4 linked regions of the Lepisosteus oculatus genome follow. The main gene of each other region encodes a partner of the protein of the gene in region 4 in a complex. Links are inferred from orthologs where the notes say so. Each region holds a gene or a part of one and is shown on either strand. Other genes may lie near its edges.

Region 1 (7,738 bases), on a different chromosome or scaffold from region 4:
TTAATGTTGATTGTGACTATAGGCAAAACATGTAACCTGCTTGTTTTACTGTATTACAGTGGGAGAGAAGATGCTGCAGTCACCAGCGAAAAAACCTGAAGACATCACTTTACCCCCCTCCCCCTCCTCAGAGCACATACAGCGCTTGAGTTAATAAAGGGTTGATTATCAACTTCCAGAATGTGAATGTCGGCTTTGTGGTTTATAAAAACCGTGCTGCAGCAGGGAGGAAGAATACAGACAGATGTAAGCAGTGATTAGGAAGGGCCGAGCAACATAGTAAACCAGCAAGGAGACAGAGCCAGGGTTTAGACCTGGAGAGACTGCTTGCCTTTAATGGAGCAGTTTATATAAAACAAAAAATAGTTTTCACAACATCCAACTGCTCCGCATCATCACTTGGGGCTGAAGAACACTCCCAACATAAATGGAATGTCCACACTTTTCCTATCAGTTTCAGTTTCAAAGGTGCTCTCCAGTCCATGTTAAAGTTCAATTTCCCCAAAATAAAATCACCTTGGTCATAAAAATAGAGGATTACAAAAAGCACTCCAGTTTTATTGGTACACACTACACAAGAAAATACAAAATAAGCGGTCAGAAAGACTCCATTCGGCATACATCTGTCTGTTATACAGTTGGCTGGTTAAAGCCTAAATTACTCTTATGACCATCAACATACACTTCATCACCTGCTCCACAACAGCTACAACCGATCAAAGAAACTATTGGCCATTAAACAAGGGATACTCTGGGTGCACTAGTTCGCCACACTTTGTAGTAGGGTGATATTGTCTCCTTTCAGCATTATCCGTCCTGCAAGAGAAAGAAACAGGTCATTCAGATTAACCACGTATTTGTTTCAGCATCACCTAAATTGGACATATAGCCATTTTAATGTAGACTAGTACCAAAAAAAAAGCTAAAGTCATGGGCATCAAGACCAAAAAAAAAAATGCAAACATGCTTACCAAGGGGTTTTCTGGTTTTTGTTTTCATGTGAACCTCTTCAGCGTCATCAAGCACCAAGTTCATGTATTCATCAAAACCCTAAAATGAACAAAATTATAAGAGATGGTCAGGGAAAAAGAAGTGGGATTTAGTCAATGTAGATCCCTCAAAAATGACACACCTAATCTTCACAGAAAATTCATTTATGTGCAAACAGCAACACAAAAAACCTACTGCTTCCCTTGGCTAATATTATAACGAACTTTCTAACTGCTTCTTTAAATTCAGGGTAGCTGGGGAGCTGGAGCCTGTCCCAGCAAGCAACGGGCACAGGCAGGATACACCCTGGACAGGGCACCAGTCCACTGCAGGATGCACACACTAACAGAAATACGCACACATTTCCATCAGGGTCAAATTGTCCCTGAGGCCAATTAGCCTACCAGAATGGACTGTGGGAGGAGACTGGAGCACCTGTCAGAAACCCACATGAACACGAGGAAAACTTGCAGACTCTCACGGTGCTTGCTCTTTTCCCATAGACAAATCCCAGACCTTTTCCAGACTTTTACACTTTCAAAACCCTTCTATAACATTTGTCTCTGTTAAATATGTGCATGCTTTATTGACAATTTTCTTGTAACTGTCCATTCCAATAAAGAAATCCAATTAATGTACAAAGAATAAATATCCACATTCCAGTTTTCATCAGTTCAATGATTTAGAGGTCATTTAAGACTACCATCTGTTAAGATTGATCCCAATAGTAACGTTAAATCTCTTTAGAGATGTAATAGTGACCCATACAACCTGCTTGATTGGGGTCTTGAGAACTCTAGTTGGAGATCCCTGGAATAGAACATTGAGAACAACCCCCCATACAGAGAGTAGTATATACTACTATCACAAAATTACACTATAGCAATGTAACAGCTTTTAATTGGACCAACAGCAGTTCATCTGAGCCTGGCTTCATGTTCTTTTAAGGGAGCCAGAACCAAGTGCCAGGTCCTATATTAGGTATGATGCCACCCCCTTTCCAATACATTTGCAGTAGCAACTGCCATTTTAAACTACTTATAAAACCTGAAATGTATCAAACTGCCATTAAACCTGATCTGTATCCAATCCTGTGTCATGGAAAAATGGTACACCCTGCTGTGTGATATCAGAAGCAGAAAGCACAGCAACCGGGCTGGAGAAAAGGGGCAGTTCTGTGGAAGAGCTCAGGATTCACTCACAATAATGCAGCCTTCTATCCGCATGTTAACTTGTTCATACAGCCACACCTGGATCCTGGATCGCTGAGGAGGAGAGAGAACAGGAGTGAACTAGCTGAAGGAAAGATGTGGTTGAAGGCTTAAAAGCCCGCTCCAGTGTGACAGGAAAACCCTGTGAAAAGTGTCAGGACTGTTTTATCAGATTCTTTAACTGAGGTTACATACAGGCAGGCTACAAAATGTTCAGATCACCGACTCCTTCATTACAGAAAATGTTAATGATGTTCTTTGGAATACATTCTCAGCATTCATACACAGGCACCTAGCACATCATAAGCACGATCATGTAAAAATATTTTTTTGTAATTACGTGTTTGCTCTGGAAGCATGGAAACTTGAAAGACCTGGGTCTTCAACGGAGAATCCGTGTGTAGAAGTAGCCGATACATTGAACAAATGCAACCAAAGGCTAACTAATGACTTTGAAAGTAACTCAAAGAAACAAAACTTACATTTTGAAGATATCTGAAGATAAGATTCTGAAGGGATCAGTCAAGGAAAATTAGTTAATAAATTCTTCTCACATCACCTCCTTTATCAGTTTAAATGAATAAAGCCTTCGGTCTCCAGCGGGAATCCACACTTTTAAGATCACACGCGATATAAATAAAAAGCAAATAATGTAAATGCGCATGCCAATTACTAGTTTCTGAATCATTTACTGTTAAGAATCTAATACGTTCGTGATACCAAAACAAAAAACTAGCGAATTATGCCATGTTGGGTAAGGCCAGAGTTGAATAAACAATTTGTAGAATGCCCTTTTCTGATTTGAAACTATTACAAATTATTTCAATTTTAAAAAACGTACATATTAACCGAATAGAGGGGTATATCAGTCTGTTAATCACATAGAAGCATACGACAAGTCAGGTCAACATACCAAACGTAAATAGCAGTGTACGAACGCCGACAATGTAGACATAAAAAGAGTTCTTACTAGCTAGGCCAAACTACACAACATTTATGCACACCCGGCTCACACAACGCACGCAGAGTACTATGTGTTTCAAAGGATACAATCGGCTGCACCATAACCTTCTGAACCTTCTGTCCTTGGCCTCTGTACGCCATAGTCCTGTAAGTTCTGCTGGTTCAAAAAGAACTTTAAAAACAAACTTTCACAGAATTACTGGGGCCGGTCTTCCTGTCGAACACCGCGCTTCTTTTCTTCTCTCTGCGGACGGTGCCCCCACGCTGAACTTCCCTTCAATGGCGGAATTTCCGGGTCACCTCAAAGCAGCGTGGGACGTTGGAGGATCAAGTTTCTGGCCTCGGTAAGCTACAAAAATGTGTGCGCCATCTGCTGATGGGAGGTCGTTATACCATTACAATTGTATACTTCAATTGCACAGTACGACTACGGAAATAGGACATACGAAACAAAGTTTTTTTGGTTTAAGAACTGTAAAAAAGAGACAATATCATCCTAAAAGCAATATTTCGCCAAACGGAAGTGAAAATTACCACCTAATTTCTCATAAATGTTTAGGTACCTAGAATGATATCTAGCCCCAATTAAATGGACGATTGACAGAAGCTAACTCCGCAGGTCTTTGTGTTTTTGTATCAATAATGACAGAAATTACAGAATGTTTTTGCCTCCATTTACTAGCTTATCATTAAAAATATGCAATAAATGGGAGTGCCACTGAAAATGCAAACAAACCTATGGTTTTGAAAAAGGCATTTTTTATTTACAAATAAGTGAATTTTGGAAATGGTATACAGGCATTTAATTAGAACAGAAATTTAACTGACACAGAAAATAGGACAAGGAACCCAGTCCAGCCCCCTTAACAGACCATACATCTCAAATGTAGCAATATAGCCACTTTTAAGATTTGTGGTCAATGGTGAGAAAAATAAAATATAAACGTATTTCCCTCACATGAACACAACCTATTTCACTTTCTGAAAACATCCGCAGCCTGGTGACACACACCCGACTGAAATGTTTTAACTAGAGTACATATACTTTCATTCATACAGAACAGTGCAGAAGAAAAATGAGAAACAATATTCCCTCCACAAAAGACAGTCATCCCTGAGAAGCTTCAAGATTGTAAAATAAACTACTAGTTTTTCAGGGGGGAGAACACAGCACTATGTTGAGATAAAACATGATACGACACTCTTGAAAAATTAAAACATGGTCCCCAGTGGAATTTCAGCACCACATTTTAGATTAAGACACTCTTTAAATGATGTAAATTATAGTACACAATTACATTAAAGCAACTGGGTTTGCCTTTTGTGTTTTTAGTTTGTATCTCCTGTTTGCTAAAGTTACAAAACCCCTCCATCCTCTAGTGCTTCCAATGTAATGAATCATCTACAAATCCTATAATTGTTTTTTGAAGTGAAGATGTATGCCTTATGCAACAGGCTGCAGACAGTATTTCCAAAGAATGGAAGAGACCGCACACTGGCTGCACTGGTGATGTGTGAAAAGGGCTTTTGCACTAGAGCTGGTGTGCACTATGTAACAGAGAACTGAAATCCAATCCACAAACTGCACTGACTTTGTTGGCTGACACTCTTGAGTTATTTCCTTACTTTACGTGTACATAAAATAACCATTGTCAGAAGTTTAGCTCAGTTTTGCCTATCAGCACAAGCTGACAGTTCCAAGCAGATTTAATGGCAAACTCCACCAAACGCGGATATGTACCCTCCCTCTAAACTGATAAATTCCACTCAAGTAGTGCTCATTTCGTAATTAATACAGACTCCACTTAAAGGGATATACATATTGTAACAGAACAAGCCCTTTACCTGGCTGAACTAGGTCTATCTGTTTTTTTTTCAAATTTCATCCTACCCCACATGTAAAAGACCATTGTGTTCACAGTACAGTCAGTAAGATTTACAAATAAACATTTTTTGGAGGTCTTCCAGGACAATATAATGGAGTACAAATCACACACTGATGTGTGTGCAATAACAGGCAATTAAGCAGTTACAGGTCAGTCACTCCATTTTTTGGGGAAATAGCTCTGCAAACCTTGATATGAAGCCATGTTGAGCAATATCTTCAAGAGGACAGCAGGGCTGGGTGCAAAAAATGTGAATGCTAATCAGTAAATCCTAAAATTAAGTGTTGTTAGCTTGTTTTATTCCATTCCACAATCTCAGTTATTTCCAAGCTCAAAGTCTTCTTAGCCTATATAGAATAATAGGTGAAGGTGAAAATAACTATTCTGCACTTGACACCCATGGCAAGCATACAATTCAGACAAATATACATCAACACATGTTTCGGTCAAGCTGTGGGTCAGATTATGAGTAGCACTGAAAGATGTTCAATATTAGCATTAAACAAAAAAGATAGTGAATCTAACAGTAAGTGTAAGACTGCTTTGTATGGCAGTAGTCACAATTCCTAAAGCAGGCTTTTCCATTCTATACCTGAAGAATGAACAGAATATGAATGGTGTTTTCTTTGAAGCAGTATTTCAACACGATTCTCACATTTCTTTATGCTATACATTTTTCCATCAGTGAAAGATTAACATAGAACCAGTAAACAAAAAATGCAAATACAGCCAATAAAAATTCCCTCTGGGAACACTGTGTGTAATTCTTGACATTTAAATGTTAAATGTGTAGCAACTACTATACAGACAAAAGAAGGGAGCTTAAGAAATAATAAAAAACAGAAAGATCTCCCTGCTTTTTACAATACCTTTTTTTAAAAAGCAAAAAAGCACCCTGAACTTCACGTTATGCAGTGCAAACCACCATACCTCCTGATTGCGTAAAAACCATTGAGGAGACACACTGGAGGTACTGCATTTGAAGTTCTAGCATTAAAATGTTAACATTGGGCCGCCAATGGATGTTGGGTAAACCATTCCAAACTTCATTAAAAAGTCAGTTTTTAAGGTAAAATACAGGGGAGGGGGAATAAAAACCCACAAGCCAGCCAATTTGTTTAAAAAAGTGCCCTTTTCATCTAAGTGAAGGTAGCAACTGTTAAGCTGTCCAAAGAGAAACTGAAAAGGACCCTCTGCCCTGCCCCTAGCTGCCAATCATCTCAGATAGTTCCAGCAGCAGATCCTCGTCATCCTTAGCAGGGTCCAGCTCGATCTCGTTGTCCAGGCCGTCGTCAAACTCCTTGATCAGTTCCTCAAAGTCATCGACTTCCGTTCCTGGGACCCGTGAGGACGCCGAGCTCAGCCGGCGTGTCTTCGCAAGGGGGGTGGCACGCACTGGCGGGCTCGTCACTGCAGCAGAGCTGGGGGTGGGCACACAGAAAGGAAAAGTTAAAGTAAGAAAGAACATGTGACCTAGAGCAAAGAAGGACATTATTTTTTTAAAAGCCTGATGGAAGGGACAGTAATGCTCTCAAGAAAGAAAACCGTAACAGGGAGTGTCCACTTCAGCACTGGGAAAAAAATAAGTCATTTTAAAAATTTAAAATTAGTGCTTTTAAATATAACTAAATTTAACACAGAGAGGGATTTTGAACTGTCCCAAGATTAAGCAGTGTTAAAATGAAAGGCTTGTGATCAGGGATGCAGTTTTACCTCTGTGGAACTGACAGAGTATCTCTGGCTGGGATGGCACTAGGCTTGGGCACAGGCAGCTCACACTCTGGGGCAGGTGGTCTCTGAGGCTCTGCCTGTGGGGTAGCAGGAGACTGGGTGACAGACAATTTGTCGGGCTCCTCTTGGGGGATGGTGCTGGGGTCCTGCCGCGGGGACTCTGGGACGGGGGTCCTGGCTTTCTTTGCAGGTTCTGCGATCTGTGGGCTCTGGAGCGATGATGTCATGTCAGCCTCTGTATCTGTGAGTGCTGGAGTCTGAAAACAAAATTACTGTGAAAATGAGAACTTTCAAATTGCAGTTTGACTCAAGAATATTTAATTAAAAATATTTAGTAATTAATCCTTTCCTGTTTTCGCCCAAACTACGAAAAAAAGAGTGAAGTAGTTGCTTGCTCTCACCTCAGGCCACCTGCATAGCAGATCCTGCTCTTGCTCCTCCGATGCTGCGGGGGCGCTATTCAGAGGCTTGACAGCCGCAACTGCAGAGCGGTGGCTCTCGGGCACTTTGCGCTTTTGGCCAAGTCTAACTGGGGTAGCTGGTTTTACCACTGACGGCTTCACATTCAACTTGGGCCTCACTGAAATGTTTATAAGAAAGAGAAGGATGAGACAAAGTTTTTGGAATTAGTTGTTAAACACCAAAATTATCAAAAAACTGATAACGTGCAACTCTGTACAATGTCAACACGGCACCAAATCAGTACTACCTTTTGGTTGCGGTGGATGTGTGGTGGATCTTTTAGCTGCAGCTTCTTCTGACTTCTCAGCCTGAGGCTCTGGATTAGGGGTTAATGGGGAAGAGATTCCAGGGCTTTCAGCTGAGGAAAGTGTTCCGGCCTCTGGGACCTGGGCTGCAGAAGAGCCTCCCTGGCCATCCATAACAGGCGAGATGGGTGTCTGTTTTGAAGTAGTAGCTGAATCCTCGGGAGAATGAGAGTCTTTCTTCTCAACCGCC
Region 2 (7,608 bases), on a different chromosome or scaffold from region 4:
GACAGAGGAAGGAGAGGCAGGCTGACACCTGGTGGGGAAACGGAGAACTGCAGCTTTCGGGGTCATTCACAGCAATGGCGTTAGATGCGTTAAGTAAGTTACGAAGACGGCAGGCATTCGGGGGTCGCTGTACCAGTGGGAGGATCTTCTTCTCCAGCCCCATTGCCTTGCCATCCGCTTTGACGTTTCCCCCCTCGCTCTTCTTTTGCAGGATGAGTAAGTCAGTGTCCGGGAAATGATACCGGCCAAGGGCCCGGAAAATAGGGCGGATGCCTTTTCTAGGCCACCTCCTGTAGGTTCGCACAAGTGGAAGGTTACCTTTTCAGCCTGAGGTAGTGCTCCATCTCTTGGCGCCTCTGTGCCGCCCCGGGATCTGGCTCGGAAGCCGCCGCAGGCCGGGACTTCTTTCTCGTGCTCTCCTTCGCTCGCTCGGGGACGCCCTCTCTCGGGATCTCTGGGGAAGGTAAGAGAGCAGGGAGTTACAGCAGGGCCCTGTAATAGTGTGTAATAGCGTGAAGCAGGGCCGAACACAATAAGATTTCAAATTAGGCTTTGTATTTGCCTTATGATGTAAACTTATCTTTCAGGTCTTAGAAGGCCATGAGAGTAGCCATAAACTATATCCGGTGCCTTACAGAGATGTGCTATCATAGGAACGCAGACAGGAAACGCATATGCTACATTTAAAACTGCCATTCTTTCAGGTGAATATGTTTACGAGCTATGCACATGATTGAGCACCTAGTGCACTGTTGCTATGGTGTCCAGGAAGTGAGGTCACTGGTGTGGTGTCAGCCGTTGATGTCCCCCCTGACTGAGCTTGCAACATTTGGTTCCTGGGAACAGGGGTCCTGCTGGGTGAGGGACAGCTGGAGTTTGATTCAGACCTGCTGCTGTAAGAAAAACACACATTTCTCTCTGAGCTGTTTGGCAAGAGCTCAAATGAAAGCCAAGGAGAAGCCTAGTATTTTTGCAATGCATTTTAATGTATACTTCATACTTCAAATGAAAACCCTTCCACAGCAGGGCAGACAGGGCTCCAAGCTTTCTGACCATTTTATTGTTGAAGGTTTTTACAGACAATCCCAGTTACCTTCTCTTCTGGTGGCAGCTGTTGTAGGGGGTGGACTTCAGCAAGGCATGATGGGTAATCTTGCGTGTCTGGGCCAGCAGAGGAGCTGGACCAGCTGTCTCCTTTAGGGCAACGACAAGGCAAGAGGAGAAGAGAAACGTAAACTCATCGTCCTCCAGAGTCAACGTACCTGTTCAGGCATGGAGGTTCGTACGCCTGACAGCTGCACGACCTTGCTCAGGCGAAGGGGCTTGGACTGGTCCTGGAGTCAAGTCCCCAGCTAAGGGAAGAGGACCGACATTTCAGTCGCGGAAGTCTCGTAGTTGTGAACAATCAGCCTGGGGCACTTGCAGTATAAAACACTTCTAGGGTTCTGTGACTCTCTATAGCAGCCAGCCAGGGCCTTCCCTTACTGCGCCCCAGAGCTCTGGAGCTCCTTCCCCAAGCATCCCAGAGTCCTCTTCCCCGAGCACTTCCAAATCCAGACTCAAAATCTTCTTCCCCGGAAAGCTGATTGTTTTCTATTTAATCGGCATCTGTGTCTGCTCCTTGCACCTTCTCCTGCTAATCCCTTGTGCTTCTTCTTGTTACTTCTGTAATCTCCTGTCTTTTACTGCTCTCTTTTGTTTGAACTCTTCTTTTCCTGTAAGGAGTTCTGAGCAGCCTACTTTTAAACGCGCTCTATAAAACAGTGTTTATCATGATGATAATAAGTAGCAGAAAATGACATATGAATAGGATTCTGGTTGTTCTTCTATCCTACAGCTTCAGTTAAAGGGGGACTAAGGATATGTGAGACTTCCAGGTGGTCGTCTGATTACACAGCAGCTTGAGCTCACCTGCCTGCCCGCTTCCTCCTGGCGCACGTAGGCCAGGTGGCGCCGCTTCTCGATCTCGTTCTGCAGCTCCCGCTTCTTCCTGTAGGACCACTGGAGCCCTGCGGAGACACGGGGCAGGAGACGCGTCCCTCAGAGCGCCTGGGCCACAGGACCCCCCTGCGCTGGGGGGGAGGAGCCCCCCGCAATTTAAGCTCTTCAATAAGGCTTCTTGACTTGAAATGGGGGTGGAGGGGGTCATGGCTCACCAGGGTTTTCCCAGGCGACCTCATCAGCACTCACTCGCTGGAATAATAATAATAATAATAATAATAATAATAATAATAGTCCTGGCGCTTCTATAGCGCTTTTCTGGACACTCCACTCAAAGCACTTTACAGGTAATGGGGATCCCCTCCACCACCAGCAGTGTGCAGCCCCACCTGGATGCTGCGCCAGTCCGCCCCCCACACACCAGCTCTCAGTGGGGAGGAGAGCTGAGTGATGAAGCCAGTTCAGAGAGGGAGGTCATGAGGGTTAAAGGCCAGGGGGGAAATTTGGCCAGGACACCAGGATTAACATCCCTAGTCTTCTAGAGAAACGATCTCTCCCGGGTCAGCTCCCAGACTGGAGTGCAGTCCTGCATGCGGCCGGTACCCGGTCTGGAACAGGCGAGACCTACCCTCCAGGTGTCTCTTCCCTTTCCTGTGGACGGCCAGCATGTCCACGGTGTCGAACACGGGCCGGGACGAGCACACTAAACAGGCGTACCTGCGGAGGAGAGCACAGGGGCGGAGAGGGAGGGCGCCTAGAGGCTAGATTCCCGATCCCATACTGCCTTGAAGGGAGAGATAAAGGAGTCTTCATCTGCAGTGTATCATCTTCCAAACAATAAATGCATTCATTCTTTGGGGGGCGGGGGTCTGAGGTAATTGCAAGCATCAATTTGATGCCACAGCCCAGAAGTTTCAGATGGCTTTATAGCCAGTGTGGAAAACACATCCTACATCGACTTGGACACATTTTAGGCTGAGCCGTGGGGGGGGGGGGTAATTTGCTTAGGGCGGCGCTATGCAAAGGTGGGATTACCTTCCGTTCTTCATCAGGACGGCCTCGTCCTCGGGAATGAAGTTGGACAGGAGATCAGCGACGCGTCGTTTCTGCCAGTGAGAAGAGAGGCTCAATGGGAATGAACCAGCCTGCCTAATTGAAAGGGCCTTTCAGATGAATCCCTGAATTACACATCTCTTCATCAAGACGCAAAAGCAGGGAAAGACACTCTGGGCACAAAGTTAAGATCCCCTTTAGAGCTACTTTTCGGAGAGAAATAGCTAGCTTCGTTCAGCTGCACCTTTACTATGTTTGCATCGGCCTTTTCGAAAGCACAAGTAGAAAACACTGGAAATATTAAATAACAAAACATACCTTGAGGACATTCAGTTGACTAGCGTCATCCCCTTCCCTTTTAAAAGACATTATTACAAGAACACCAGAAAAGTACTCAGCCTTGCTTTTCGTTCATCGGACAAACATCACTTCCGCCAGCTGAATGATGGGACTTGTAGTTTTTCAAGTGTTAATGGCTATCGAGTGGGTGCTGGGAGTCCTACTTATTTGTGAAACCTCTGACTGGGACAGCATAAATACAACTGCAAGTCTTGTTATTGTAAAAGTAATAATTAATTAATGCAAATTATGGGGCGAGGGATGTACCCTACTTATAGAATCGTCCCGCTTGTTTCTCTATGCACACTCCAGTTCCCATGGGACTGTGGGGCCTCGCCTTTCCCAACATTCCTAGCTTACACGCCCAATAGAACTATGGAAATTGTAGTTTTTTAAGTCATGTCTATCTCGTTGTTCCAACGACTCTCCGAATTAGGCAGAACTACAACTCCTAGGGTACTTTCATTTCGAGTACGATTGTATGTAGTAAAAAGCTTGGCGTTGAGGACGTTATGTTATAATTTAAGGTTTCCGTCACTATGATGAAACGGGTTTTTTAAACAAAATGCGCTACAAAAAACACGGGAAAGACAGTGACAAGAAAATGCACACGCGAGAATGTTCAACGAACAGAAACAGAAAACGTGTTCGAGTAACTCATTTTTAGACTTGCTTTGGTACTGATATTTTATTTTTGACAGTTCCAGGGACCTCGTTCGCGATTGTTACGGGTTCTATTTCAGGCGTTTTAATTTAGAGGAATTTATAGCTAGACGCATAAATAACAGGTACGTTGTATTTATTTTAGCCACAGTACAAGTAGCTTTTACTCCAGCGTCGATACACTGTACTGTACATCCGCTCGAGGGATGGATCTGCGGGATAAAAACAGATCAGAAACGCTTAGGAAACAACCCTGCACAATCGAAGAACCTTGTGTTTAGCTAACTGGGTGACGGTTGCTAGCGCTTAGCTAGTCTGCATAAAACAGACCCGTCCAGTGAAACCGGTACCCCAAGTTTCTCTGTTCGGTCCCGCGGACGTCTCTTTAATCAAATTAAAGCCTGGTGCTTTTCGTCCTGCAAACCGCGAGCCACTGGGGGTCTTAAACCGTACTTCGCATGCGAAGGCTTTCCTGTAGTTCCGATCTCACACACTTCTCTCAAAAAATCTCCCGCTGTTGAGTCTGTGTGTGATGCCGAGCCTCCCAAACATTTTAGAAATTCGTAACCGGACGTTTTGTGCTCTCAAGAGAAGTATCTTCACACGCTGTTGATGGGCGCAGGGAGGTCCACTGACCTATACAGCATTTGAGCTTGAAAGGGTCCGGGGACTCTTTCGATGGAGCCTCATCCGGAGACCACCGAACTGGACTAAGACGAAAAACAGAGGGGGCACAAGGGCGACATCTTCATCGGCGATGTCTTCGGGACGGCTCCCTGCTTCTGCCGGGGGCGAGGCGCTCCTCTCCGGGAGCCGGACCCGTTCCTACGGCAGCCTGGTGCATTCAACCCGGTCGCCGGTGCGAGAGAGGCGGGTGGAGCACCAGGTGCAGCCCGGAGAGACGCTTCAGGGACTGGCGCTGAAGTACGGGGTGACGGTGAGTGCCACCTGGGGGTTGGTTTCTGAGATTCGCCTGAGCAGGAGAGTTCATGAGGTCATGTAACTTGGGCTCTGCGAAACTTTTGTGGCTCTTTTCGCGAAATATTTTCCCTCACTCGCATGAATAAATTCCTGATTCAAAGATTGTTTTGTGGTGTGTGTGTTTTTTTTTTTGCAGATGGAGCAAATCAAGAGAGCCAATAGGCTGTACACCAACGACTCCATATTCCTGAAGAAGTCTCTCTCGATCCCGGTGCTGACGGACCTGGAGCCTCCGGGGGGCGGGGCGGGGCCGGCGGGCGAGGGGACGAGCCAATCGCCGGCCGGGGAGCGCGGAGAGGACCTGAAGGAGAACGGCGCGTCCGCCAATCAGACGAAAGGCGAGCCGGAGGTGCCCGGCACTGGGGTGAACTCGGACCTGTCGGCCAGGGACTTCCTGGAGAGGATGGACTGCATGATCAGCCAGTCCAAACAGGCAGCTGTGAGGAAGATGCGGGAGGGAGAGAAGGGGTGAGTGCCGGCCGACTGGACAGCTGGGTGTCCCATGACGCTTCATTTAATTACAGTGGACGAATGATGCAGGCACAGTTCTTTCAAAGTGAATATCCATTCATCCATTTTTTTTTTAACCGCTCGATTTTTCCTTGCAAGAGGCTGGGTTGGGGGGGAGGGGGGGAGCTGGTGACTGTCCCGGCATTCAGTGGGTGCAAGGCGGGGTACCCCCTGGATGGGACGCCAGTCCGTCACAGGGCAGGCAGACTCACACCAGGGCCGATTTTCCCACAAGGGAATTAATCCACCAGGAAACCCATCTGAACACAGAGAGAACATACAAACTCCACATAGACAGCACCCGAAGTCAGGAATTGAACCCAGGGCCCCAGTTCTGCAATTTAGCAATTGAACATTTTTAATCAAGACCTGGATGCTTAAAACAAATTTTACGGGTGACAAGCACAGAATTGTTAACTTGGTGAAAGTACTGTAAGTCGCCATGTTGTCGCAGACTCCTGGTCTCACCACAGAGTCTGTGCAACATGTTGGCAGCCCTTCCTGCTCACTAGTCCCTGTAATGACTAGTACGCTGTGATGTACGAGCGAATAAGTACAGACTGTGCTGCAGACATTTCACTGCTGAAATGTTCCAACGAGATCTGCATGCAGAGTTAACAAGTAGTATTTGTAGCATAACCTTCTCGAAGGCGAGAGCCATATTTCTATTGGATTAAAGGAGATTGTTTTCACAAGCCTGCTTGTTTACAGTGTAATAGGGCCTTTTCACCTTACTGGAAGTTTTGTTGCCTCATTCTCAATCGCAGGACATGGCACTGCGCATACCTGGATCATTTTGTCTATTTTGTGGTGTAAATTGGAGGTTTAATACATTACTGTGTATATTTTGCTTTCATTGTGGTTTGAAATGCCCTCATCAATGCTGATTCTTCCGAACCCCGAAATATAAAAATGGCGCTGCAGCTCCCCTTTAAATAACCTTGCTTTAGCATGTACAGTAAGTGACGTTTAGGTAAATGCATTGCACCTTCTGAAACCTGAATTGGGCCTGAGTCCTGTGGGGCAGGAGTTTCTGTTTCCATTCCAGGGGTGGTGTGGTCATTTGTAGTGCTGCAGTAGACGTTAGAGTGAGCTGTGTTAATGCTCGACTGCCCGACAGACCCAGCAGAGGAAATACCCTGCGCCCCTGCTGGGGAGCCTTCCTCAGGGGTTCGCAGGCAACAGGCCGGAGTGCAGGTTGTGGGGTGCGACGAGAATTTATTTCCCTCTTTCAGGTTGTCAGAAGGATGTTATTGTTGGAAGCGGAGGGAGTCAGGAAGCAGAAGGAGACGACGAGGTGAAATGAGACCCCAAATAGACGCTGTCCCGGGGGCAGTCCTGCAGAGGATTTAATTCCCTCCCCTTTGCTTTCACAGCCTGGTGGGACTTGAGCCGGCCGGCCCCCGGAGAGCCTCGGCCAACCGCAGGGCCGAGCTCCGGAGCTCCGCCTCTTCTCCCAGGGTGCACCAGGGGGCCACGCTGGGCCCCGTCCCGCTCACCATCACCAAGCGCGCCAACGGGCTGAGGGACAGGGAGGACGAGATCTTCCAGCTCTGACGCCACCCCCGCCCCCCCCCCCCTCGCTCTTCTGTCGCCCCCCTCAGCACGGAGGTCCTGGGATACCGGTGCCGAGCGGATTTCTGACTTGTTTTTTGAGGGAAGGAGGGAAGGCTCACACTTGCATGAGCCCGGGTAGCTCGGCGGGCTAAACCGCTGTCTTGGATGCCCGAGATATGGGAAATAGAGAGCACAGGACTGAACCCCCCTCCAGCTTGGCAAAGACACACGACGAAGTGTGAAAGGAAGACGTTCGGAATAGATCAGCAGCAAACAAACACAACAGCAAACCAGCATGCCGCCTGACCCAGTCAGTCGTGCTGGAATCCTCCTTGTAAAAGTACATCAGAAAGACTCCTTGTAGGTTTTCTGTGTTGAAATAACTTTTCGACTTATTTCGTGACTTCTGTACTTCAGGTCAGATATGTTCTGTAGTTCAGGTGGGTAGCTGCATGCGTAGTCTGCAAAGGAACAAGTAATAGGTTTACTCCACGCTGAAAAGAGAAAAGAGAAAACGCAACGTTTCGGCTGTGGAGCCTTCTTCAGGTTGTCTCCCCGAAGACG
Region 3 (8,502 bases), on a different chromosome or scaffold from region 4:
ATATATTTTGCAAAGGAGTTTGTGTAAATACATATAGGTAATAAAAACATTTTGGCCACACACTAATTATTCTTGCTGAAAAGTTAAGGAAATACATCTTACAATGTAAAACTAAAAATTTTAAAGCCATTTACCGAGAAGTGAAAAAAGAAAACACTTGAAGCTTTTCATAGATGTTGTTCCTGACCTTGAGGCTTTCATTTTACATTAGTGCACTACTCAACCTTGTAATGGCGTATTACAAGGAAAAATATTTTCTTATCTTTGAACTCTTAGGAGTCAGTTTAGTGATATACTCCTTCCTATACATCATTCTCGTCACAAAAGTATCTGGGAATTCACAGAAAATCTTCACTTGCCAGGTTTGCACAAAATATTGTTGAGAGATTGAGCAACTCCACAGGAATTGAGGAGCTGGCTGCCAGGTTGTCTGTACAGCAGTGAGAAGCTCAGCCTTTCCTACAGACAGGACATCCCCTGAGCTCATCGAGAAGCCTGTCTCTTCTCTGCCAGCTCTCCCATTTGCTTCTGCCGACGCTCCAGAACCTCTGCCAGCTTTTCATCGTATTTGGCCTGTTCTCTGGCACGAATCTCTTCCACTTCAGGGAAAAACTTGTGTCTGAAAATATAGTTAGTATTGTCTTTTAAATTATTATTTTGATGATGATGTTTTGCATTTCTGCAAACATAATGAACCTCCAGTAGCAATATAAAGACCCAGCCATAGCTAAAAAAAAACGCTACAGTGCTACTTGAAAGTTTGTGAACCTCCGAGTGGTTCATTTTGACTATAAAATTTTTGTTTAATCAAAACTAGTCCTCCCTAAAACAAAGGTTTATGTCCACAAATTCAATGTATTGTTCAGAGGAATTTATGCATGCAATAGAAAAAGAAATAGGAAAAGAAGATTTAGGGCATGTGCTAAAGTAAGTGAACCGCAGGTTTCATTAGCTCAGTCAACATGGTAAGTATAACCAGGTGCTAAAATAATTGGGTACCAAGTTAAGCAATCAAAGAACCAATCACCTGAGCAAAGTCAGTTTGGTGCTGTTCATACAGAGTAATGTAATGCACCATCCCACAATCTAAAGAGACCCCAGACAAGCTCAGATGAACTCAGGAAGAGTGTTGTCTGCTCACCAGTCTAGAGAGGGTTATAAAACCATTGCAAAAGGTTTTGGAATTCATCAGTTTACTGGAAGACAAATAGTCTATAAATGGAGAAAATTTAAGGCCACGGTAACTCTACCTAGACGTGGATGTCCTTCCAAATTATCCCACAGAGCAACAAGAAAACTCATCCTGGATGTCCAAAAGAACCCTAGGACCACATCCAAGCATCTCCAGGCTTCTCTTTCTGCAGTTGATGTCCATGTTTATACCTCAACAATATGACACAAGCTGAATAGCAATGGTAGCCAGAAGAAAACCTTTGCTCTAAGAAAGGAACATTGCTGCACATCTTAAGTTTGCAAAAGACCATCTGGATGATCCTTTAGGTTTCTGGAAGAATGTTCCTCAAAGCAGATGTGAAGGACTTTACTAACTTTAGGAGCTATGACTGCAACCAAACAATTCCTAAAGGGTGTACCACTGCTAGCTGAATTAACTTTCACTTACTTTTGCACACAGGAATCTTTGAGCTTCTATTAAATAAACATGCTTTATTTAATAAATAATGAATATATGTATGCATGTCCATTATTTGGGTTATATTAAATAAAAATTGGAGTGCAGATAATTTTCTTAAGAGTATAGAGAGAGATTATATACTTGATGCTGCTACTATAACACTGCTACTTTAGTTACGTTTCCTGGTCCACCATTTTTCACACTTTAATACATATATACAGCTCCCCCTAAAAGTAATGGGACAGTAAAATCATAACTGTTGTTTTTGTCTTACAGTCAAGCAGTTTGAATCTATGATCATCAGATTAATATGAAATTTCATGCATATATCTGACTTTAACTTTAACAAAACCATACTTTGTGTTCAACCCAGTAATTTCAAGGTATCAAATGTATTCTAATACATTCACGTTAAGTAAATTTCAGAGTATAAATGTTAAGTTGCATTTCCCAAAATACATATCTCAAACCTAGTGAGTTCTCCAAATTCCATTTAAACATTTGAGATTCCTTTTCTAGATGAATTGAGGTGTTCCTGTTGAAAGCCTTCAGCTTCAATAATAATAATAGCTTACAGTTGTATAGCACTTTTCTGGACACTCCACTCATTACCATCACAGGTAATAGGGTCTCCCCTCCACCACTGTGAAGCCCCACATGGATGATGCGACGACAGCCATAGTGCACCAGAACGCTCACCACACATCAGCTATCAGTGGGGAGGAGAGCAGAGTAATGAAGCCAATTCATAGGTGGGGATTATTAGGAGGTAAGGTAAGGAGAAACGCCCTGGGATTTTTAATGACCACTCATTAAACCGAGAGTCCTCGGTTTTACGTCTCATCCAATGGACGGCGCCTGTTTACAGTATCGTGTCCCCGTCACTATAATGGGGCATTAGGACCCACATAGACCGCAGGGTCTGCCCTGTCTCTCTCACACCTGAAGAAGGCTCCACAGCCGAAACGTTGTGTTCTCTTTCTTCTTTTTTTCAGCATGGAATAAACCTATTACTTGTTCCTTTGCAGCCTACGCATGCTGACGCAGCTACCCACCTGAACTACTACCGCCTACAGCTGCTGCGACCCACTATGCCTTCCTCCAAATCTTTTTCTAGATCTCTTCGTCATACCTTCTCTTCCTCCCTGGGCCACTTGCCCGCTTCTCTCAGCTGATAACAACCCGGTTATTGATGTCATTAACAACATTAATCCCAAACAGAGCTGTTGGACTCCCTCCTCTGGCCGTTTTCCACCAGTTGATTATTTCATTAACCAATGCACTAATCAAGCTCCCAAGACACTCTCTATACCCAGTAAACATAGGTCTAACCTCACCCAAGGAGAAAATCAGGCGCTCCAGTCTCTCCGCAACAGGGATGATATCGTCATCAAACCAGCGGACAAAGGAGGTGCTGTTGTGGTGTGGCGTAAGGATCTATATATCTTTGAAGCCTCTAGACAACTAACTGACACTTCTGCCTACCTCCCTCTCCAACAGGACCCTACCACTGACTACCAAAAGGAAGTGGTATCCACCATTTCCCTTCTTATCAGCAGTAACGAGCTCCCCCAGGAGGCGAACCGGCTCATCATGGAACATCCACAGGTATCTCAATTTTACCTCCTCCCCAAAATCCACAAACCGGACACCCCTGGACGCCCCATCGTATCAGCATGTAACTGTCCAACTACTTACATCTCAGCCTTTCTCGACAGCCTCATGAGACCGCTGGTTGAAGATCTTCCCTCATACATCAAAGACACCAACCACGCGCTCCAACTTTTCAATGATTTCCAATTTCAGGGTACCGAATGCCACATTTTTACCATGGACATCACATCTCTGTACACCGTCATTCCCCATAATGACGGCCTTACAGCACTCAAGCACACGCTGGACAAACGCACAGTGCTTGATCCACCCACCCACACCCTGGTACGCCTTGCAGAATTGGTCCTCACACTGAACGCATTCTCTTTCAATAATCTTTTTTACCAACACACTCAAGCACACGCTGGACAAACGCACAGTGCTTGATCCACCCACCCACACCCTGGTACGCCTTGCAGAATTGGTCCTCACACTGAACGCATTCTCTTTCAATAATCTTTTTTACCAACAGGTCATGCCATAGACATGATTATGATTATGCCATAGACAGGGCATAGACCCTGCTGGCCCCACTAACACCTCTTCCAGCAGCAACCTTAGTTTTTCCCAGGAGGTCTCCCATCCAGGTACTGACCAGGCTCACACCTGCTTAGCTTCAGCAGGTTGTCAGTTGTGAGTTGCAGTGTGATATGGCTGCTGACATGAGAGGCTTTCTGATATAAAGGTCAATCAGCTGCTAGAAGCTCGGTGATCCGAGGGTCTCATCCTGCCATTTCGTGGAACAAGCCAGGTTATGAGCTTTAGCTAAATGAGCTGGTAGTCTGCGCGAGAGTCCCACAACCAGTACTTGAACTAGAACCAAGAACTCTGCCAAGGTCAATAAACCATACAAATGATCAAATCCATGAGTTCAGTGAGCACATTCCCAGGTCAAAAGTAAGGCAAAAATAAAACACCAGACTATTTCGGTCAACAAAGATCAATGATTTGTTACTTCTGCAAGAGCGATGACTTCGTTCTAGCACTCATAGGAATCCAAGGTTATGACTTTCTACAAAAGGATAATAAGCTTCCCGGAACATCCCAAATGGTATATATAAATACCTTGAGTATTTTGCAAAGCTCTTTAATTTGCTATTCATCACAATAAATGAACAATGTTGCATAAAGTAAAAAGCGTTTATGAAAATATATCTGTTCGTCCACACTAATACACACCTGTTAACAAAGGCGATGGACAACCCAATGAGGATCGTCCCAAACAAGACCGGCTTGGCAAACCGCTTGCCGGCAGACAATTTGATCTGTTTCATGTCTCTGCTATACGAAGAAATACCTAGGCAAAAACAAAAATGAGTGCCACTTTCTACCTTAAAAAAACAGAGCAACTAGCTTCACGCTTCTAAAAAACAAAACGCAACTGCGCTCTCCTCCTATAAGCTCCGGCATAGAACACATGACTCAGAGAAACAAAGTTCCGTCCACCAGAGTACAGCCCGAGTTTTCCGTTTATACACATCTGCAGCTATATACGGTTTGTATATGCAATCGCATCATTGTGCAGTTTACACCCGCTACAAAGACATTTTGAATTTTATAACTTGTCCTCTCCTCCCATTAATAAGAGATATTTAATTACAGTTTTCACTGGTTTATTTTGTCATTAGATCTTGTAGTTTTGTGGAACTGGAATCTAAAAGCCAATGCGTTTCTGTCGATCGGGGGAGAACGACTAGGACAGGAACGGAAGTAAATACAAAATATAAAAATTAAGGTGTGTGTGGAAGGGGAAGGCAAAGGTGGATGAAAAATGGGTCGTCGATAGGTAAATAAAATAGTTTAGTGTAATAAATGTATATTTTTTTATAATGCAACAAAATATCTAACAGACTAGCGTAGCTTTTAAATGTAAGTAATTTGTTTTTTTTACTTTTCAGTTTGGGCATTATTTGTGGTATAAACACTTTTGCTGCTAATCCGACACCAATATGGAAAAGCTTTCGGTTGATCGTAAATTTATAATAAAATATGGATCCAACAGTGTTCAAATTCTAACGTTTGAAAAAAAAATATGACACTTAAAATCTGTGCAAAGAATTCCGTACCTCCCTCCTTCCCTGTATGTGAAATTGATTTAAATGTGTATCCTGTATTCATTCTTGAGCGTAAAGAAGTAATTTGTTTGAAATACAGCAGTATCTTTCATGATTTTTAAATACTTCAGTACAACTCCATGTAATCTCTTTGGTTCAAGTAATATATTTTAAATTGAGTTTAAATTATTTTGCATGCTCTGCTTTGGTGTCTTTCTAGTGTGGCAAAACGCTGCTTTTCACAGTATAGGACACACTGCCTTAATTTAAAGATCAAGATAGTTCTGAGGATTATGCTGTCTATGCTGAAAATGTTTTTTTTTTTTGCTTTAGGAGTGTGATGTTCCCCAAGAAAGGTGACTCCCAGGGACTGGACAGATTTGAGTATCTGCAGGCTCTGGTCACAGAGTTCCAGGATACTGACAGCATTGGTATGAACTTCTGTTTCTTTTAAAATATGTTATTAATTTTTCTGCACCTTATAGGCACTGACCAGCAGGCGGTGTTTGTAGCTCTTTTATTAAGCATTGTCAATGAAACAAAATCATGTGGAAACCATGTTTTCGTAGGATTTCAAGTAACGTAGTAGATTAAAATATGGGTTACAGCGTTTGAGATGCACCGCAATGGTTACAAAAATGTTGTCCACATGGAAATATGTGTTGGTTGAATTATTGTCTATTCAAAATCTGTGAACGTTTATTTCATTTTCACGTTTAGAAGCCAAGACACAAGTATTGGCAAACTTGGCCAACTTCTCCTATGACCCCAGCAACTATGAGGCCCTTCGCAAGCTTCAGGTGATCGACCTGTTTTTGGACATGCTCACAGAGGACAACGAGAGCCTGGTGGAGTTCGGAATAGGTAAGGAAGACTTTGAGAAGAAGATAGAAATGAAGAAGAAGAATGATGATGAAAAAAGAAAGACAGTTCTAGAAATCAGAATCAATAATATGTCTTCGTATAACTTAGTATAACTGCAAACAATTATTAGATTATTACATTAGGGCATTTTCTGCAAGAGATTTCTAAATGGCCAGTGGAGAAATGTGTATATATATGATAATGGGTACACATGTGCAGGTGATACAGAAACTTCTGTTATAGAAAAAGGTGTGGTTCAGAAGGTTGTGCAGGTAAGGTGCTTGGTGGTCTTATTGTTGAAAATCATGTTGTATAATATGTTGATTTTTTTAAATTAAGAAAGAAATTCTACAAACCTATTTAAAGAGTGTGTATATATATATCCACAAATAAACTCCATATTTCATAGTTTTTTTGTTTGCCTAAGTTTAGTGTAAAAATCCTCAACTAACAGTAACACCAACAAAAAGACCTTGCACTCCTCACACTGATAACATGCAAAAGGTTTTTTAGAAAAGATGTAAACCCAAAATACCTTTATTATATAATCCTGACCTAGTTTTGTCACCTCGACTTTGACATTTTGAAACAGTTAAATCACCTGTAAAGTAGGAAAGGCTGTTGCTGTTTCTCTCCTAAATATAGCAGCTCGTCGGCAAAACACCCAACCATGAATGGATATTTACTACAGTTAGTACTGTTCGGGTACTTCAGGGGCATCTTTGCAGGTGAAAAACTGACTAACTTTCCAGTGTTCCAGACAGAATGCAGGCTGTTTATTAGGGGTGATTACATATATGGCCCTGCATGCCATAGGTTCGCCATTGCAGCACTATAGGTTGGCACTCCTTGAAGCCTAAACAATGTAATAGAGAAACTGAACAAAATGCATCACAATTAACCTGATGCTTTAGTACATTTATTTAGCAATTTCCATGTTTTCACAGGGGGTCTGTGTAACCTGAGCCTGGACAAAACCAACAAGGAATACATCCTGCAGAACGATGGTGTGAAGCTGGTGATTGGGTGCCTGTCCAGCCCCAATGAGGAGACAGTGCTGTCTGCCATCACCACTCTGATGTACCTGATGACTCCTGCCTCCCGCGAGGAGATCACCGATATCCCCGTGGTGGAGTGCATGCTGCGCTTCTCCCTGTCTACAAACCGGAGATTAAGCAATCTGGCTTCCGTCTTCCTGCAGGACTACTGCACTGCGGAGAAGGTGCAGAGAGCCCAGAGCCTCCAGGGACACTCTGCTGTGGGCATCCCACTGCCTCAGGATTAGATCTGCTCTGCTCCTAGTGATGCCACTGTCTTCTGGTTTTTGTTCTAGCCCAACTCTAATTGAACTAATAATTTGCATATTTGGATATACCATCTAAACTCCTTACAGTTCATTCCTCTCCTAACTGTCTCCCTGCCCTCTTCATCTGACTGCTGCTGCCCCTGAAGAATGTCTGTCAAGCCAGGTGTGTCCAATTTACTCCAGTTAAGGAAAAGAAACTAAGCCTCACCTTGTTCCATCACATTGTAGAAGGTCTTGCACACGAGGAGATGAGGAGAAGTGGAGAGGATTATAAAGAAAAGAGACTGAAGATAAGTGGGAGTACAATGGTTGAGGTACGGTAGCAGTGTGAGATTTGGTGCTTCAAATTGGACACAATGCAGCAGAGAGCCAGCAGAGGGTTGGGACCAGTGAAGCAACGTGAGAAAAGCAAAGAAGAGCAAGCGCACAGAGCAGCCCCAGCATTCTGGATGAGTGGGAATTGGTAGATACATTTAGCAGGGACTCTGGCCAAGAACTACTAAAATAGTGTGATGAACACAGGATCACTGTAAATCTGTCAATAGCACTTTTCTCTATAACACTTCACACTGATGTGTTCAGTGCACAGTGTAATGTCCAGTAGAGTGCAGCATTGTCATTGTTTTCCTTCATATCTGCAACCTCCAGTTAGAATATGCCTGTATTGATAGAACTGTTTCCATACTGTTTAAATGGGTTTCTAAGTGTCCTATACCATGTTTAAGGAAACCTTTTTCTTTTAAGTGCTGTGTATGTTTTAAATGTTATATTTGTTTATATGCACTGTTAATTAATAGGCATTTCCTGATTGGTTTTGGGCCATCTAGGGGGGAAGCCCAGGGCACTTATCTTTCACCCTTCTTCATTTTGTGGCTCTACTGTGTAAGACAGTTGCACGTTGATCAATTTAATAGCTCCAGGACCCCCAGCAAGAATAAGAAGATTTAAGACACTTGCTGTAGGTGTACTTTCTCTCCTTTTTGAATTGTATT
Region 4 (8,474 bases):
AAAATAAATATAAATATTTTATTTTTAAATAAAATATATAATTTTATAAAGAATACTATTGTAAAATGTGACAAACATGAAGTGTTATGTGTATTAAATAGTAATTTTCCCTGAAAGGTTTATCAATCTATATTTATATTTTAAATTAATTAATTAATTCCACAGGGTGCTTTCATTTATCAGTATGCTGTTAACATATACAGTACTGTAATAGAAGAAGGGCCAGACTTTTGAGAACTGTTATCTCATGTTTTTAAAGAAGAGCCAAGCCTAAAAAGTGTTCAATCAAAAAAGAAAAGCATTAAAGAAAAGCATTTGTGTTCTCAGCTAAATAAACTGACAGTCTGGACCCAAGAAAACAAAGGGAAATAGTTTATGATGGATCACAACAGTGTTAAAACACTTGAACAGTGAAGAACACAATAGTGAAAACTTTCGTTACCATGTAGCTTCTGTAACTTTTTCTATAACCTATATTACTGCCTGTTTGAAGCCATAGAAAATATTCTTTTAGTGAAATAACTTAATACCTTAATATAATGCTTAAATACCTTGAAGTAATGATGTGATAATGAAGCATCGGAACTGTTTTAAAAAATGTTTCAAATCTGGAATAACATTATGTGTAATGTGACTTAAATCAAACATCTAAGTGGCAGATATTTCCATGGGGAAATGCATCACTTGCAAATTGAAGTGTCTATGTAATTTAAATTAACACAAGTATGTAGACCACAGTAAATGAAAAGGTTGAAAGTAAGACATTTGAGTATTACATTGTACCCAAACATTTTTTTAAGTACAGCAAAGGATTTAAATGGTTAATGTTGGTTTCATGAAGCAACAAAGGATAAAGAATGTACTTTGCTTGACCAAACATTGCCTAAAACAACCAGCCCTGAGGTATGCAAGCACATCACAACCTGATGTCAAGGATGAACACATGAAAGTTAAACAACACTGCATTCTGTTTGTTTAAGTTTGGTATAATTCTGAAATACCTTCTCTGGCAACAGTTAGCTTTTTGCCTTTATCAAAAGATACTTAGCATTTTAACACAATAAAGCAGTAATTTATTTCTTTAACAAATGGATAATGATGCCAAATCTGTGTGTCTGTAAAAGTCTTTTTGTAGTATGCCAACTATCTTATAAGCCAATAATTACTTGATGCCTTATCTAATGACTTTCAAACAATGCAGATGGGATGGAGAGTATTTACTGTACCTACTGTAAATACAGTAATGACAGCCTATACTTCCTTCATTGTTAGAGTTTTACATACAGTATATTCAATACAAACAATGCATTTTATGACAGGTTGGCACTGTGCATCACAAAAAGAATCAACATAGATCTGATGTATCTACCAGTTCTAATATAATTGCACTTGAATTTCATTTTCATATATATGTACTTCAACATTTTTAAGAATAATGTATATAGGCTAATTGTATCTTGAAAAAAAATGTACATTTTAAACCTTTGGTGGCTTTACTCATTAGATGGAATGACAGCACCATTTCCTGTTTTGTTATGCAGTATATACAATAAACATATAATATTTTTATACTGTTTTTCTTCACGTCATATCAGCAGGAAAACATGGGCCTTCTATGACAGCTACGTAGGTACTTGATGTTCAATTCTTTCATTTTGTTTACTTAATATTTCAGAAATATTGTGCAAGCATACATCCAGTCGGTTAATCACAGTGGACTTATTTGTCTGCCAAACTCCCACACAGAATCTAAACATTTAAATCATGCTGTTTTTATGATTACTATTTTGAAATAAAAATGTAATGAGCACATGGCTTTTAGTACTCAGTATCATAGGAATTTAGTTAGATAGTGAAATTAACTAAATGAAACTAAATGAAAATGAAAAACAACGGTAATTGAGAAATATTTGTCCACCTACTATAGGCTTAATTATCGCATTAACAGAAAAGCAAATAGGTGCATTGATACCATGATTGTCAAGTTATTTGATCCTGTTCAGATCCTACACAGGAGAGCTTTCAGTCTATTTATTTTTTATATATAAAACCCAGACTCTAAACAACAAAATAATAACAAAATGATATCTCATAGCTACCACACACCAAAGTGACTGCATGTACAGTATGGATCTTTTTTCTAATCATAAAAAATGACTTGCATTTTTATAACACTTCTCATTCCAGATTATCTCAGCATTACATTTAGGACATTGCAAGTTGAATTTTTTAAAATTTCAGCAATCAATTATCTTACTGTTATTTTACTATTTCTATAGTGCCATTTCATATTAAGCACTACAGTATATGAGAGCCTTTTAAAAAGTTACATTACAATGTGACTCATTGTATGCTTAAAATACAAGGATAAAATACAATTTTTATTAAAGTTAATCAGCTAAATGAACAAGCTAATGTATTCCAACTTCAGCCAAATGTTTCTAGGACAAAAAGAGGTGACAGATTTAAACAACATTAAATTTAAGAACTGAGAATGGCATTAAAAAAAGAAGGGACAATTATAAGTGGAAGGCAGTCTAGAGAACAAAGGTCATCTTGGCTTGGATTACTGGAGCCTTTTCTTCAAGGGAAAGCAAAAACAACAGGTTTTTCCCAATGCAGATTTCAACAAAGAGAGGTCAGGCATCAATTTTATCATGAAAAGGGGAGAGTTTTGAAATTACATGTAGTCTTGGGTAGACACTGGACTCCTGTACATGAAAGGTGAGTCAAGAAACAAACATCTTTACTGAAACTTCTTCCCTGACAGGCATAAGTAAAAACAGACCTTTTTTGTTTAAAGTGACGATTTATATCGTCCCTCATGACTTGTTTTGTGTTATATTCTTTCAAACCTTCTGCTATCTTAAGTGTAGGTAGCCGTTCACTTTACAAACTATTCATCCTTTATGGAAATGGTTTTAAAACAACACATACAGTGTAGCTATTTCAGTCATTTTGCTTTGCATCACTGAATGCATTCTTCTGCAGTTTTGTCCCCTTCTTCTTGCCTACAACAGCACCCTCCTAGCTCATCTCAAGTCTACTACCACCTCCCAGTGGTCTTTCATCCAAGATGATGGCTTTCTTACAAAGCCATCTCTCACAACCTTTCAGTGTATTCAATAGAATCTTCACATAGTAGCACAAAACAGAAAGGCCCTTCTAGTACAATTATAGAAAAGCCTATGGCAATGGCTACATTTGATGCTGTATTTGTTCAAATGCTTCTGATGCTGAGTAGAGGCATCTTATATGGCAGCATGGACTCCCCTCCACCACTACCAATGTGCAGCATTCACCTGGATGATGCGACGGCAGCCATAGTGCGCCAGAACGCTCACCACACATCAGCTATCAGTGGGGAGGAGAGCAGAGTAATGAAGCCAATTCATCGAAGGGGATTATAAGGAGGCCATGATTGGTAAAGGCCAATGGGAAATTTGGCCAGGAATGCCGGGGTTACACCCCTACTGTTTTCGAGAAACGCCCTGGGATTTTTAATGACCACAGAGAGTCAGGACCTTGGTTTTACGTCTCATCCGAAGGACGGATGAGACGGATGAGACTCTATATGTAATACCTCACATATAGAGTCAGCCACTATCAGTACCTGCCTTTACTGAAGGAATGGGCTCCTGGATGTCCAGGGGCATAACATTTTCCTATGTGTCCTTTGTTTTCCTGCGGTCTGTCTCCAATAAGGCCTTGAAATGGCTGAACTCCAAAAGCTCTGAGGATGCCACCCCTATGGGGTGTGTCTGTCGTTTCCTCTGACTGCTGCCTCTCATCACCCAGTTATCTCCCTTTTTTATGTTTCAAGCCTGCCTACTCATGGCATGCACACAATCTCCCTGTAGGACACTTCAACTATTGCCTGCAAAACCTGTGTTGCATTGGGGATCAGAGAGCTGAGTTTCACTTCCTTCATACTGTATGTCTAGACAGTTGTTTCCATCAACTGTCTTGTTATCTCTACCACAATATTCTCTATACAGTCATAAATGTTATCATTATATTAGAGTGTACTCTTAAACATTGTAATACTATAGTAAAAACAATATAATCCATTGGCTAAAGGAAAAATTCACTGTTATTATTGCATGCTAGAGACTTTGCAGTAGCAATATAGGCACAAATTTATCAGCTACTGTATAATGGTCAACACATAAAATGAAGAGATTAGAGGGTGAGTTGTGTCAGTGTGAAAGCTGCAAAGGAACAAGCAAAGTCTATTTCCATAGTGAAAACTAAACATAAAGAATAAACACATTTTGGATGTTGATAATTTTTTATACTCTACTTGCCACATCTAAAAGCTCCACAGCCTTTTTTCATACTTACTGTAAATGCATGTATTTATTAATATGTGAGCTATGAAATGTATGATAAATGTGAAATCCCTACACAATGTTTTATCAATTCTCAAATCGTTACTATTATGCGTTGTTAAAAAAAAAACAGTAGAAACATATTTGTATGTTTACTTCAGTTGGTTTATTTTTAGTAAATAGTTTTAATTCTCCATTGTCCAAAACCTTGGTCTCCAATACTGTCCCGGAGAGCCCCAATTGAAAACATTTCAGTACCTATAAGGTATTTTCCAAAGGCTTGGAAAACATCTGTGAATAATTATTCAGGTGACTCGTTAAATTCTGTATTGTAGAGTCCACATGAAACAAAATTCTAAGTACTGTACATTCTAGACCTCAGCTAGGACCAGGGTTACTTTTATTGAATAAATTACTTTCTTGATTGACCAATCTGTTCACAAGCCTCAGAAAAGTGTGACTTACAGTGATCTACAGAATTTAGGGGACTGGACCAGGGTCTAAGATGCTTCTGCTAGAGCGTTTGGTGGTTCAGTGTAATTGTAAGCAATCGTAATTTCTTGTATTTTATAGCATTTATTGCCCATGTTTATAATGATGGATAATTTTTTAATTATTTTAATTATAACTATATATTTGGTATATTTTTAGAAGTTCTGTGGACATTTTTTGCTCTTAAAAACTACTGTATAACATCGGTATATACGTTATTGTAACAATGAAAATTGCACCACAAAATCAAATGTAGAATACATATTAATATTCAATTAATGGCAACATTTACTGTATGTATGTACTGTAACACTCTTAACGAATATATTTTTGGCCTCCGCTACAGTAGAAGTCGCTATAGTACCACTCAGTAGGAGTGTGTCGATCTCCTAACAGTCGAGATTTGATTATCCCCGGAAGCGGAAATGAACGCAGACTTTCCTTCCTCCTGTATTCATATTGTGTGCGCGCTGTTATTTGTTGGTGGTACGTTTTCGAATAGTTAAAAAAAATATATTTAAAAAAGTAATCGAGTGAAAAGGATTTGTCTTCAGCTATGGTGGAGGTAATTAATTGTTTATATTCTTTCTCGTTTTGTTCTATGTTTTGATTTTTCAAAAGGAAAATATGTTTGAACTTTGAAATGAAATGTATTGTATAGGCCAGTATAATGCATACGCTTCTTTCTTTTGTTTTAAAAGGTACGAATTAAAGGTTATATAAATTAGAGACTATAGATCAGTTGTTTTGTTGTAGAATCTTAAGTAATTAACATCTTCTGTAGTAGTTAAGATTTGATTATGGTTATGTTTTCCCCCCTCTGGTGTCTTACTATGGTGTTTTAGTTGTGTGTGATTGCTCGATAAATACGAAATAATTGGCTGAAGCGGAATCTGAAGGTCGTAAAACGGGTCTTAGTATGGATGTATGCGTCTGAATAGCGATACGTTTATTTAAGATTTTCAGTCAGTTTTCATTGATGTACTTATTTGTAAATATAAATCAGTATGTCAGTCTACTTGGGTAGAGAGAAGACTCTTAAGAACATAAAAGGTTACAACATTTTCTAGTTAGACGTTTACTTATCCACGTATATCATCCCGCGGTTTCTTGAAAGACTCCAAGGGTATCGGCTTCAGCAGCGGCGTTGAGTAGCTGGCTCTGTGTGCCCCTTGCCTCTTCTTCTGCATTTTAAACGCTTGTTTTTAATTGTACTAATTTTGTTACATCTTCTCCTTGTTAATTTTTTCTCTTATGGTAAAGCCCTTTGATAAGTTCCTTTTAAAGAAACTGTCTAAAATAAAGTTTATTATGATTGTTCCATACTCCCCCAACCCTCTTTGTAAAGAAGTGCCCCACTTTTTTTTCACTCACTTTCACGGAGTTTCCACCCGTGTCCTCTGGTGTTTCAATATTAATTTTGAAGAAATAATCTGGGTTGGTTTAGCAGTGACGTTTTCGGAAGAGGATTTTGAATGCTTGCATCTAGTATTTTATCAAATTAATTAGATGACAATTGGGGTGATATGTGATCCAGGCTTGACGTTTTGACCCACATGTGCAGCACATTGTAAAAACATTATTCTTCCACCTCAGAAATATTGCCACACTATGTCCTATGGTGTTGCTAACTCTTGCTGACAAGCTGGTCGTCACTTTCGTTTTCAAGTTGGTTAACCCAAATTGATTACTGTCTTGCCCTACTCGCCAGTGTCTAAATCCACATTGAAAAAATTATTATATGTTCAGAATTCAACAGTATCTGTTGTATGCTCTCATTTTATTTATTTTTTCTGTAAGGTGCTTTGTGAAGCCACAAAGTCACTATAAAATAAAGGCATTTAAAGGCACTACATAAAATAGTTTCTTGCTATTAACTAGTTAGTGTGGTTAAAACAATTCAATAGATTTTCAAGAACCTATATTCAGGCTGTGGTGTTTATTAATATACTGAATTGTAGCTGTTATTCCAGAAATGTTTTACAATCATGCCTGCCCTATAATATCTTCTAGGAGGTACAGAAGCACTCTGTGCACACACTGGTGTTCAGATCTCTCAAGCGCACTCATGATATGTTCGTGGCTGATCATGCGAAGCCCATTGATATGGATGAAGAAAGGTGAGGTTTTAAATGTATTAATAGATACTATTTGTAGTATTGCTACATCTTGAAAACTTATAAGATCTGTCAAATCCAACTTTACAGTTTTCACTTTCCAGTGGATTTCAGTGGTATTCTTGTTGTTTGTGGTGGCTGATATCCTAAGACTTGTTGAGCTTTGTCAGCATTGTAATGTGAAGAAAAACTACAGTAAATCCTTCAAAGCGTGTGACCCTCTACATCAGGACCACACCAGGGACTCCACTACACTAGTTTGATTTAACCAGCTCTTGGAATTGCTTTATTAATCATAATACTAATAATTTAGCGATGAAGTAATGATCTGGTGGTAGCACAGTTTGGTATTGGAGTGGAATGTAGAGCCTATAGGTTGTGTAGCCCTGCTCAAGATTGTAGGTATCTCATATCTTACATGAGGTGTGTTTAAAAATAAGATTGTATTACTTGTGTGCTGTGCTCTCTTAAATTTTTAGTAGTAAAGTAAAATCAGAAACTGGGAGCAGAAAATAATTATGCTTTAGGTACTGGTATAGCTGTTTTCATATCTGGAATTTTGAAGTTGTCCTTGTTTGAAGATCTTTAAGTAAGGAATAAGAATTATTATACATTATGCTTAGAAAAATATACAAGAATACTAAGCATGTAACTTGATACATAAAATGGTCTCATCCATAAAATGGATCTCCAGTCCATTTCATGTAGGGCTGGTGTGCTTGCAGGGTTTCCATGTCTCTTTAATGCTCCAGCACCTGAATAAAAGCTGGGAACATCTGTTAACATGTCCAGATAAGTCACAAATGATATGTTAAAGGTTAAAACGAAAAACTTGTGAACAAGATTGGGGACAGCTGTTTTTTTTTTACTTGAGTCCGCAACTGAGTGCAACTTTTTAATGGTGTTTTCAAGCCCATCTAATTCATTTTGTTATAAAGCTTTGTACTGAGTTGCTCACATTTCACCTAATGCTATCTTATGTCAGCCACAAGGTCAAGATGGCCGTCAAGTTGCGTACGGAGTACAGTGCTGTGCTGCACATGCCAGTTTTCAAAGAGGGCAAAGACAAGGGCTCCCTCCAGATCTCTGACCCCTATGGCCAACAGAACTTCTCTGCAAACCCTGGTAAGTGTCTCAGGTTACAGGCATTTCTTCAAAGGTTTTTATTTTGTTTTTGTGTTGTCTTGTTGTTCTTGTTTTGTTGAGTTAAGCCAGTTATATTGCAGAAACATTGAGAGAACAATGACCGGATATAAATAATAAGAAAAAAAGAATCTGAGCACCTTTTCATTTGACTTTTTTCAGGGCATGATCCAGAGTATCTTATTACTGGAACTCATCCATACCCCTCTGGACCAGGTGTGAATTCTGCTCTTTTCTCCAAATTGTTTATCCTTCATTATGAATTTGATTATATTGCTGCCACATGCTTTTTATTATATTTTGCATATTAACAGCATTTCACTCCCTCTTCCCTTTCGCAGGTATAGCCCTGACTGCTGATACACAGGTACAGAAAATGCCTAGTGACACA

Evidence for each region.
Region 1: plrg1 (region 4) and snrpe share a complex: the UniProt entries of both Homo sapiens proteins name them as parts of the minor spliceosome. The link is inferred for Lepisosteus oculatus from reciprocal best matches to the Homo sapiens genes PLRG1 and SNRPE.
Region 2: plrg1 (region 4) and scnm1 share a complex: the UniProt entries of both Homo sapiens proteins name them as parts of the minor spliceosome. The link is inferred for Lepisosteus oculatus from reciprocal best matches to the Homo sapiens genes PLRG1 and SCNM1.
Region 3: plrg1 (region 4) and armc7 share a complex: the UniProt entries of both Homo sapiens proteins name them as parts of the minor spliceosome. The link is inferred for Lepisosteus oculatus from reciprocal best matches to the Homo sapiens genes PLRG1 and ARMC7.

The regions. Positions count from the first base shown.
Region 1 is NC_090700.1:38,045,048-38,052,785, forward strand, and holds snrpe (small nuclear ribonucleoprotein E), read right to left. Parts: upstream 3,436-7,738; 5' UTR 3,306-3,435; coding exon 3,252-3,305; intron 2,711-3,251; coding exon 2,684-2,710; intron 2,256-2,683; coding exon 2,193-2,255; intron 1,051-2,192; coding exon 972-1,050; intron 817-971; coding exon 761-816; 3' UTR 531-760; downstream 1-530. Other genes in the region: zc3h11a (zinc finger CCCH domain-containing protein 11A), read right to left, coding at 6,255-6,471, 6,764-7,038, 7,183-7,361, 7,491-7,738. UniProt on the Homo sapiens protein: Plays a role in pre-mRNA splicing as a core component of the spliceosomal U1, U2, U4 and U5 small nuclear ribonucleoproteins (snRNPs), the building blocks of the spliceosome.
Region 2 is NC_090722.1:5,084,659-5,092,266, forward strand, and holds the start of scnm1 (sodium channel modifier 1), read right to left. Parts: upstream 3,436-7,608; 5' UTR 3,364-3,435; coding exon 3,313-3,363; intron 3,048-3,312; coding exon 2,977-3,047; intron 2,659-2,976; coding exon 2,570-2,658; intron 2,010-2,569; coding exon 1,912-2,009; intron 1,195-1,911; coding exon 1,094-1,194; intron 894-1,093; coding exon 742-893; intron 455-741; coding exon 319-454; intron 1-318. Other genes in the region: lysmd1 (lysM and putative peptidoglycan-binding domain-containing protein 1), read left to right, coding at 4,754-4,933, 5,114-5,445, 6,864-7,044. UniProt on the Homo sapiens protein: As a component of the minor spliceosome, involved in the splicing of U12-type introns in pre-mRNAs. Plays a role in the regulation of primary cilia length and Hedgehog signaling.
Region 3 is NC_090704.1:32,755,774-32,764,275, forward strand, and holds the start of armc7 (armadillo repeat-containing protein 7), read left to right. Parts: upstream 1-5,067; 5' UTR 5,068-5,153; coding exon 5,154-5,155; intron 5,156-5,673; coding exon 5,674-5,771; intron 5,772-6,060; coding exon 6,061-6,204; intron 6,205-7,151; coding exon 7,152-7,489; 3' UTR 7,490-8,502. UniProt on the Homo sapiens protein: As a component of the minor spliceosome, involved in the splicing of U12-type introns in pre-mRNAs.
Region 4 is NC_090696.1:24,675,521-24,683,994, forward strand, and holds the start of plrg1 (pleiotropic regulator 1), read left to right. Parts: upstream 1-5,263; 5' UTR 5,264-5,379; coding exon 5,380-5,388; intron 5,389-6,836; coding exon 6,837-6,943; intron 6,944-7,925; coding exon 7,926-8,065; intron 8,066-8,245; coding exon 8,246-8,299; intron 8,300-8,424; coding exon 8,425-8,474. UniProt on the Homo sapiens protein: Involved in pre-mRNA splicing as component of the spliceosome. Component of the PRP19-CDC5L complex that forms an integral part of the spliceosome and is required for activating pre-mRNA splicing.